Schizosaccharomyces pombe: one gene and its partner. Changing the gene in region 2 together with the main gene of any one other region gives a genetic interaction. Each region holds a gene or a part of one and is shown on either strand. Other genes may lie near its edges. The genes, in order: etd1 and rga5.

Region 1 (4,382 bases), on a different chromosome or scaffold from region 2:
GGAACAAATTTCGAATTGCTTCAGAAGTTATGTATAAAAAAGACCGTTATACCCAAATTTAAACCCAAAACGGGAAACAGATAAGTTTGGAATAGTGGCAAGTAGTAGTAGAATAATTGTTTACTGAAGTCAAAAATGGGAGTGGGTAATGAAAAAGTGGTTTACAGATGCAAGGAATGCCAACTCAGTGTAAGGAATTGTGCAGCGAAGTCAATGCAACTACTGTTATATGTAAAAATAAAAAATCCGAAGTTGACAAAGACAAATAACGATTGCAGGAATTACCAACCGAACAGAATTCAGGTTGTAAGTATATTAAAGTAATGCAGTCAAATTGAGGAACGTAGAGAGAGAGACACACACACACATCCAAAGCAATGGGTTTTCGAAAAGATACGGTAAATATTAATGAGCAGAAAAAAATGATAAAATATTAAATGTAGAAATTCGGCTTAAAAAATCGATAAAAGTGTTGTGTAAAAAAATTATACGAGCCGAAGAGCAGTAAAACTACCGCGTATAAATTGTTGAAAGAGCAATAATCAGTGAACTAAAAAGTCAATCCTCCTTGTAGAATATGTGGAATTGACAAAAAGAAAATTTATAGGTTTGCGGTGTGCAAAGGATAAACAACTAATTGTGGTCTAACCCCGTAGTATAGTATGAAGTGGGGTACTAGTTTTAAGGATTTTCAGTGCAATGAGGAATTTCTCACTAAATAGCAAAATCATAGATATGGGTTTTCAGGTATTTTTGATTTACATTCTTTTACTTTAATTTAATAAAATCTTTTTATCACAGAATAAAGGTTGGACTAATATTCACAAAAGACAAAACATCTGTCTAGTACTTTTTCCGAAATATTATTGCAAAATAGATTTATTAAAAAGAGAAAACGAAAGAAATTTACAATAAAACCAAAAGCTTCTTAAGATGCAGAAGTATAAAAAGGTTGTAATGGCCAGTTTCACCTTTACTTGCTATCCACCAATGCGAAACTGTTCTCACAATTATTGAAATTATCCTAAGCGAAATTTTGACACTTTGGATAACAAAATAGATACTTCCCATTCCATTAATGGATTAAATAGCCAAAAAGAGAAACTCAGTGTAATAATAGTTGGAGTTGGGACATTAAATAATGCACATGATCGTTTAGCCCTGGTAGCATGGACGCATCGAAATCTAATGAAGAATCCCCTTCCAACTTAACTTTATATTTTGATAAAATGTTTTGCGCGTCCTCATCCTTTAAATCAGAATAATTTGCAGGATCCGCTAACCGTAGAATAGCCTTAGCCTCTCCTAAAATCTCTGAGTCCTTGTCGTAAATATCTTTGGAATTTGCCTTTTCGTAAAGATCTTTTAAGTCTATTTGTGTTTTTAGTTAGCAGCGGTTAAAACTAAAGCATTACAACACATGAATGTCTTACCTTTGATGGATCTCGTAAATTCCTTCACCTCAAAAAGCTGTTCTCGAACGGTGTGTCCTGCACTGTTTACCGTTTCGGGAATTATCAATGGACTATCGAATTTCACATTAAAGTCCTGCTCCCAATCTGAATCCGCATCGTCCGCAAATAAATCGCAACGAGATGAAAATCGAATATCCGATGAATCGTTATTTATATGAGTCGTTTGCGTATTGTCTTGAATGATAGGTTCCGACACTTTCGACGACTCTGGCGAAGTAGTCGATAACTCGTCCCAGCAAATACCATCCGAACTCTCATCTTCTTGCGTAGTCGCACCCAAAGAAGTTTCTTGGATTTGCTTAGCTAATTCATTTATCCGAAAGGAATCTGTCTCATTATCATCATGAAGCTCACCTTCAATAAATCCATTAACTGAAGGTAGTTCAGCACCTACACCACTAGCCTTGCTCCCTTTATTGGCCGAATTAAATTCATTACTTAACGCAGTTTTTTTACAGTTGCCTTTGTTTATCTCATTCGCCGTAAAGTGAGACAACGACGTACTGTCTGCACCTGAAGCGTTGCGTTGTACAGTACTTTTTGACTCAACTCCTATGAATGAAAAAATTCGTTTAGAAAATTTTCGGGAGTAACTTCTTAAGCTTTCAAATGCTGAGGGTTTCCTCCATGAGCCTTGATCTATGCATTCGGAGGTGTTAACTTCTTTCGGTAATCCAAGCTGTTTAGGGCGCCTCGGTGTAATATCTGAACCATAACTTTTCATGCCTTTCACATGCCTTCGTTGTAGAGTCACACCTTCAAAAGAATGACCCCTATTCTCTTCGAAAGTATCTGGAACCTCTGCCATATTGACAGAAGAATAGAAATATTCACTTAAATTTTGTTGACTGCCGTATACAACTCCCATTGACGAAATACTCGTAAATCTATATTTCTCTTAAGCTAAATTAAAGAAAGAATTATTGCCGTAGAGAAAAGACTGTACGCGTCAACCCATTCAAGTGTGTAAATAATGGTAGAAGGCACTTTCGTCAAGACCACGCTTTTGTTAGTAAACAAACGGTCGTCATGAGAACGACATAACGAATTTTGAACATGAATCTGTAAATGATTTATAAGGAAATACAAAGTTCTATAACATCAAAGAACGCAATTCGTTATGTTGTTTAAGCGCTATATAATTCTGATAAATACTTTATAACGCGTTAATCGTGGTTACGTTAAATAGGGCTTTGTAAAGATGGAATGCTAGCAGAGATAGACTAGGAAATGGAAAAGACTGTCTATTACAAGTTTTATTCATTAAAAATGTTCAACTTAAAATAAATAAGTTAGCCAAAAACTGAAAAGATGAATGACTCTACAAAGATTCAAAGCCACTGCTCGTTCATGAGCACAATGTTAGCATCAAAAGTTGCTATACGCCTTTCAACTTTCTTTACTTGCTTACGATAAACTCTTCAACTAACTCTGTTGATGCAGGGAAAACATTGTTTTCTTCTTTTCTTTCATTACATTGACTTAAAAGTCAAACTCTTTAAAACTAGTCAAATAATGTTTGCAGTTTAAAGCTACGTTTTTGAGAGCGTAAAGTGATGCAACCTTTAATCTCACAGTTAATATAAACATAGCGAATATAATAGGTTAATGGATCAATGATTAATAATAACTTTTACCTAGCAGAATTGTTTATTACTACAGACCATTTAACTTTTAGCAAAAGGAACTTCCTAATTCCTTACAAAAGTACGACTGGACAGTTACGGTTAACACAAATACGTTAGCTCTGAGCAAAAAAATTAATTCCACAAAGGTATACGCAGTAAATAAAAGTTCAATCCAAAATACAGATTGACATCCTCTATTCACTCATTTAGTTTTACCAAAAAACAAAAAAACGACAAACCTTCTAACCAAACTACAACACATTTATAAAAGTAATCACAGAACAGCTACACGAGGCTCAAAAGAAGAGTAAATATATGTAAATCAACCAAATCCAGCCTTTTATTTTGTGACCTAATGAATAAACAGCGTAGCCGAAAAAAAAAATCCTTTCTCAGCAAACACTAACACGACTCACAAAAAACCATATGGTGAGCAGCTATCAACCGGCACAGATAAAAGAAGCATTAAAAACATGGGCAAAGAAAAGCAGATAAATTAAGTTGCGGGAGGTTTGCCGGGTTGCGAGAAGAGCAATCACGGAGCGTTCCATATCTAGAACAAAGAGAAGAAAGGACTTTTGTATTTTTTAAATCAAGTCAGCAATGTTCATAGGCATTTCCTCAATGTGTGTATTGTAGAATTGTTCAATCTCACGCATCATGCGAACATCGTCGTTGGTAACAAAGTTAATGGAAACACCCTTACGACCGAAACGACCACCACGACCAATACGGTGAATGTAGTTTTCTCTGTTAGCAGGTAAGTCATAGTTGATAACCAAGGAGACTTGTTGGACATCGATACCACGAGCAAGAAGATCGGTGGTGATAAGAATACGAGAAGAACCAGTACGGAACTCATGCATCAAAGTATCACGTTGAGCTTGGTCCATATCACCGTGCATGGAGGAGACGGTAAAATCACGCTCAGTGAGCTGCTCGGTAAGCCAATCGACCTTTCTACGGGTATTACAGAAAATAACGGCTTGAGTAACAGTGACGGTTTCATAAAGATCGCAAAGAGTGTCAAGCTTCCACTCTTCCTTTTCAACGGCAACATAGAATTGCTTGATACCTTCCAAGGTAAGCTCATCTTTCTTAACAAGGATACGAATGGGATCACGCATAAATTTGGTGGTGACTTCCAAAACATCTTGAGGCATGGTGGCAGAAAGAAGAACAACTTGAGCAGTAGGAGGCAAAAGTTGGAAAATGTCGTAAATTTGGTCCTTGAAACCACGGGACAACATTTCATCAGCCTCATCAAGAACAAACATTT
Region 2 (4,182 bases):
TCTATAGAGGACGCAGAAAAAATTAAAACCTATCCCGCTGCCTTGAGGTACATCTTTGCCCTAAATTCCCGCCATCCCGAAAAGTTACAAAAATTAAGAAAGATGAAGGCTATGCAGGAACGTCAAGAGCGCAACTGGTCTCTGGAACGGCAGCGGCTAGTTCAACATTTTGAGTCGAAAACTAAGCTTCAAGAAATACTGAAACCGCTTTCCTCCGACCCTAAATTGAAACAACCGTCCAATTGTCTTAATGACCAGACCAACAATGATTCCGCTCAAACTTTAGATGACAATAGGGCTTTACAAGAATTTGATGAACAAGTGGTACAATTGACAAACAGGATGTACAAAGAACAGCTTGCAATCCTTGCAGACCTGAAGATACCATTGTTTTTGTCAGTGAATAATGATGAAGAGTTATCTGAAGATCAGAAGCGCCTCTTACAATTGTTACAGGATCTCCTTGGAGCCTAATAAAGTATAGATTGATAAATCCTTTCTGGTTACAATGTCGTTGTTGTTTTCATAAAAGTTTCTTTGTACAGATATATGGACACCAAATTAATAAAAATTTAAAATTACGAAAGTAGCTGAAAGCTGTCAGATAAATTTACTATGTAGATAAATATATTGATCTACCAAAACAAAAAACAATTACAAAAAACAATAACGAATTGGATAATTTGTTCTTACTATGGTTAAGTAGAACTTCTAAAATGAAAATGGCTGAATACAAAGAAAAAAACATAAAACGACAGTAGCGGTATCCAGCCTAAATGCAAATCCCAATAAAACTAAAAGAGCGGACGGTAACAACTAAGTATATATGTACAAAAAGATTCTTCGCCATACAACCAAGGACAAAGACAATTAAACTAGATAAACAGAGAAAAACAATTAAAAGTATTACATACGATTTTCCCTCCGGCGATCAAGTGTATGGAAAAGCTTCATAGATGAGCTTCTAGACAATGAATACGAACGAGATTTGATTCTTGGGGGTGAACCAGGATCCACCTCGGAGCTTTTCATGTTTGAAAAATTTGAACTCGGACTATTGGAATAAGTGGCACTAGAATGACGACTAAAAGAGCGCCAACGCTTAATGGATCCATTTCTTGGATTAAAAGAATTAATCCTAATGGATGTCGAGGCTATAGGAGTAGGTGCAGCAGATTGCGTAATTAAAGTAGAAGAAGTATTTGGAGAAGTAGGCGCAGCTACCAGAGGAGGTAGTGAAGACAAAGGAATGGTTTTGATAAAGCTTCCTTGATGATTGATAAGGAACAAAAGAGCCGTTTGCGATATTTGATAATCTTTTGAGTAAACCTCGTGATCAGGATGAGATAGAATTCCAGGTTGGAAAATAGCAGCCAAATTATCAGCAGTCATCAGGTTCTTCGACGAGTTCATCGCAAAAACGGAAAGTAAGTCCAGTAAATAAAGTAAAAGCTGGCGATTTGGAATCGGTAATTCATCAATGCGTCGACGATACATTTCCACTCGCTCATTGTCTGTAAGATTGGGAATTGTCATGGGTTCACGAAACCTTTCATAATACTCCAAAGGAATCACATGCTCTGGCATTAGATTGATGAATCTCCGAAAAACATTGGCAGCATCATGAACTGTGTATCCTTCCCAATCAAAACTTCGGCCATAATCCGGGCCTGTACTGAAAGCTTTTTGGAGAATTTGGATTCGTTTGGAAGAACCATTAACGCGAAAAATTCCCTTTACTTGGGTAGCATTTTGTTTAAGAAAAAACCCGCACTTAGCAACGACAGCGGGAATGTAGCCATAAAATACTTTCTCACCGTCTCGGCGTGTCAGAAAGATAGCGACCTTCGATACTTCCAAAGCCCTTGTAAGGCTCAGACCAAACAATTTATTGTCATCTGACTTTTTAACCCGCAATTGCTTCCACCAGCTAGCGAATGATGACTTTTTCCCCATATCGTCAATCTGTAGGACTCCTACGACAACAGTCATGAACAATGGCTATTGTAATAAAAATTGAAAAACTTAACAAATGAAAACAATAAAAAAAAGAATTCAATGAGGAAAATGAGATAACAGACAAAAGATTTAAACCCAAATACAATGAAAGAATTGTAGATGTGTAAAAAAAAAGTAACCGATAAATTGACACTCTTTAAAATTGAATAACAATTCTGTTCAACTCAAATAACACTGTTCTCCACTAGATGGGTAAACTTAACTTAATAAATTGCGCTTTTAGAATTATTTGTTGTATTGTGTACAAAGCAGGTTCACACTACGGGGTTGGTAAGTACTAGTTAGCTATTGCAAGGTGGGTGTCGCAGTTTCACAGCCGGTACTTCCGAGGATGCTCGGGGAAGGCAAATCCTCTAATAAAATACCAAACTACTCGCTTGGTTACTAATTTAAAGGAATTTATAAGTCGTTCAAGCGAGCAACTCGTAAAGAGAGAGGCTTAGCATTGTCCTGTACGCATTAGCGTGCCAATATCGTATACTGACCTTTGGATGATGGAATGATTTTACCATACGATTCGATACATTCCTTAACACTTCGGAGAAAACAAACATTCTGCTTGCGATAGCGAAGATTTTGCAATTTTACGATCATGGCACATTAGCGTTAGTGTCAGTAGGAAGTGTGCTGATACCACCCATCCCAGATTAGCAGTGCAAAGTGGGCTCATTAAAGGACGAGTTGAAAGTCATGTTCCTAGGAAATATTTGAATTGCGAATTCTTACAAGTCAAACTGACGAGTTTTGACAATGAAGAATGCCCTCCCCTTGGTTGTTGGTATACTGTTTTTATTGATAAATAAAAGTACCATGTCTCTCTGTACATACAACTACGATTTTCGATATACAGGAATGTTTAGATAATTAATCTTTTAAGAGAAATTCTTTTAGTAATGCAAATTTCTATGATTGTATAATATGCTTGAAACTGTGATTTGTCTGGGGTTTTCTTTTTTGTTATATTTTTATTATGTACAACGACTCTTGTTCACCCAGGTCGAAGAGCTAAGGGTCGCTCATTTCTATATTTCTTTCAAGTTTCCTTTTTTTGCTTAATACATTATCATTTGATTGTTGCGATTGATTGTTACAATCGATCGCTCGCACCGATAATCTCAATTAAGCTCAGCGTGTTGACTTACTTTATCTAACCTTTAAAATAGGTCATCGCTACAAAAATTAGTAAACGAAAGAATAAAGAAAATACAAATCCTTCAATTGATTTCTCGTTTTACTCCCTTTTTACTCGGCAATGTAATAATAAATTAATAATATACATTACATTATTTTTATTTACTACACTTTTAAAATAGCGATGTGGGTATTGGACGCATCAAATCAATTCATTGAATTGAAAGTCTGTAAATACCGGGATTTGTCATCCCATCAAACAAAACTAAGCTGCCCTCAAGAAATTGTACAAAAATTTAAAATTTCTTTGACTAGCTCCTATTATGCGATTGTTTCGTCGAATATTTTATATGATCGGTTCGAAACGATAGCCATGCAAGATGAGCAGCAACAGTAATGCTCGTTAAATTAACTAAAAAGCAACTTATTACAAACCAATTGGTAATTTCATAAAAAAAATGAAATGGTTTGGAGAACAGTGTACAAGCTAATGGATAGCATACTAAACGTAACACACCAGACAACCATGCATACTCGGATTTACATAATCAACTTAGTATCTTTATCTTAAGATACAAATTAGTATTTTACGCAAATTCTCAAAAATCGACCGAGTAAATAAGTAATGTCATCTCATTTTATTATTTACTACGAAAATCAGCATATTTGTAAGGTGAGAAGCTTTCAGCTCTTAAGCTTAGATAGTGGAAATTTTGCAATCCGTAAAATGTAGATTGTGAGAAGGATCTTATATGATTGTATGCATTATGTAAAGTTGGTTTACGAATATGGGCTTTAAATATCCTTGGATATAAACAAGACATTGGGTACTACTATAACTGTATAAATTGTTTACAATTTGAACTGAGGAACAAAAATTCGGTCGATTTATTTTAAAGGATTTTAGTCTTAAAGATAATTACTCTCAAAGAACGGATATATATCCGCTGCGGAACGGAAATATAAATAACTACAGATTATATACTGATTAACGACATAGCGTAGTAGAAAAATACAGATAAGATATCGTTA

What was found.
Region 1: of rga5 (region 2) and etd1, a mutation in one rescues a mutant of the other (synthetic rescue), as found in Schizosaccharomyces pombe (one study listed by BioGRID).

Annotation. Positions count from the first base shown.
Region 1 is NC_003424.3:5,086,050-5,090,431, reverse strand, and holds etd1 (Spg1-binding protein Etd1), read right to left. Parts: upstream 2,454-4,382; 5' UTR 2,344-2,453; coding exon 1,434-2,343; exon of another isoform or gene 1,372-1,433; coding exon 1,106-1,371; 3' UTR 794-1,105; downstream 1-793. Other genes in the region: translation initiation factor eIF4A Tif1, read right to left, coding at 3,691-4,382. UniProt on the Schizosaccharomyces pombe protein: Involved in septation.
Region 2 is NC_003423.3:2,484,617-2,488,798, reverse strand, and holds rga5 (Rho-type GTPase-activating protein Rga5), read right to left. Parts: upstream 2,265-4,182; 5' UTR 1,993-2,264; coding exon 907-1,992; 3' UTR 590-906; downstream 1-589. Other genes in the region: SPOM_SPBC557.02C (uncharacterized protein), read left to right, coding at 1-474. UniProt on the Schizosaccharomyces pombe protein: GTPase-activating protein for Rho1. Has a role in the negative regulation of (1-3)beta-D-glucan synthase activity and cell integrity.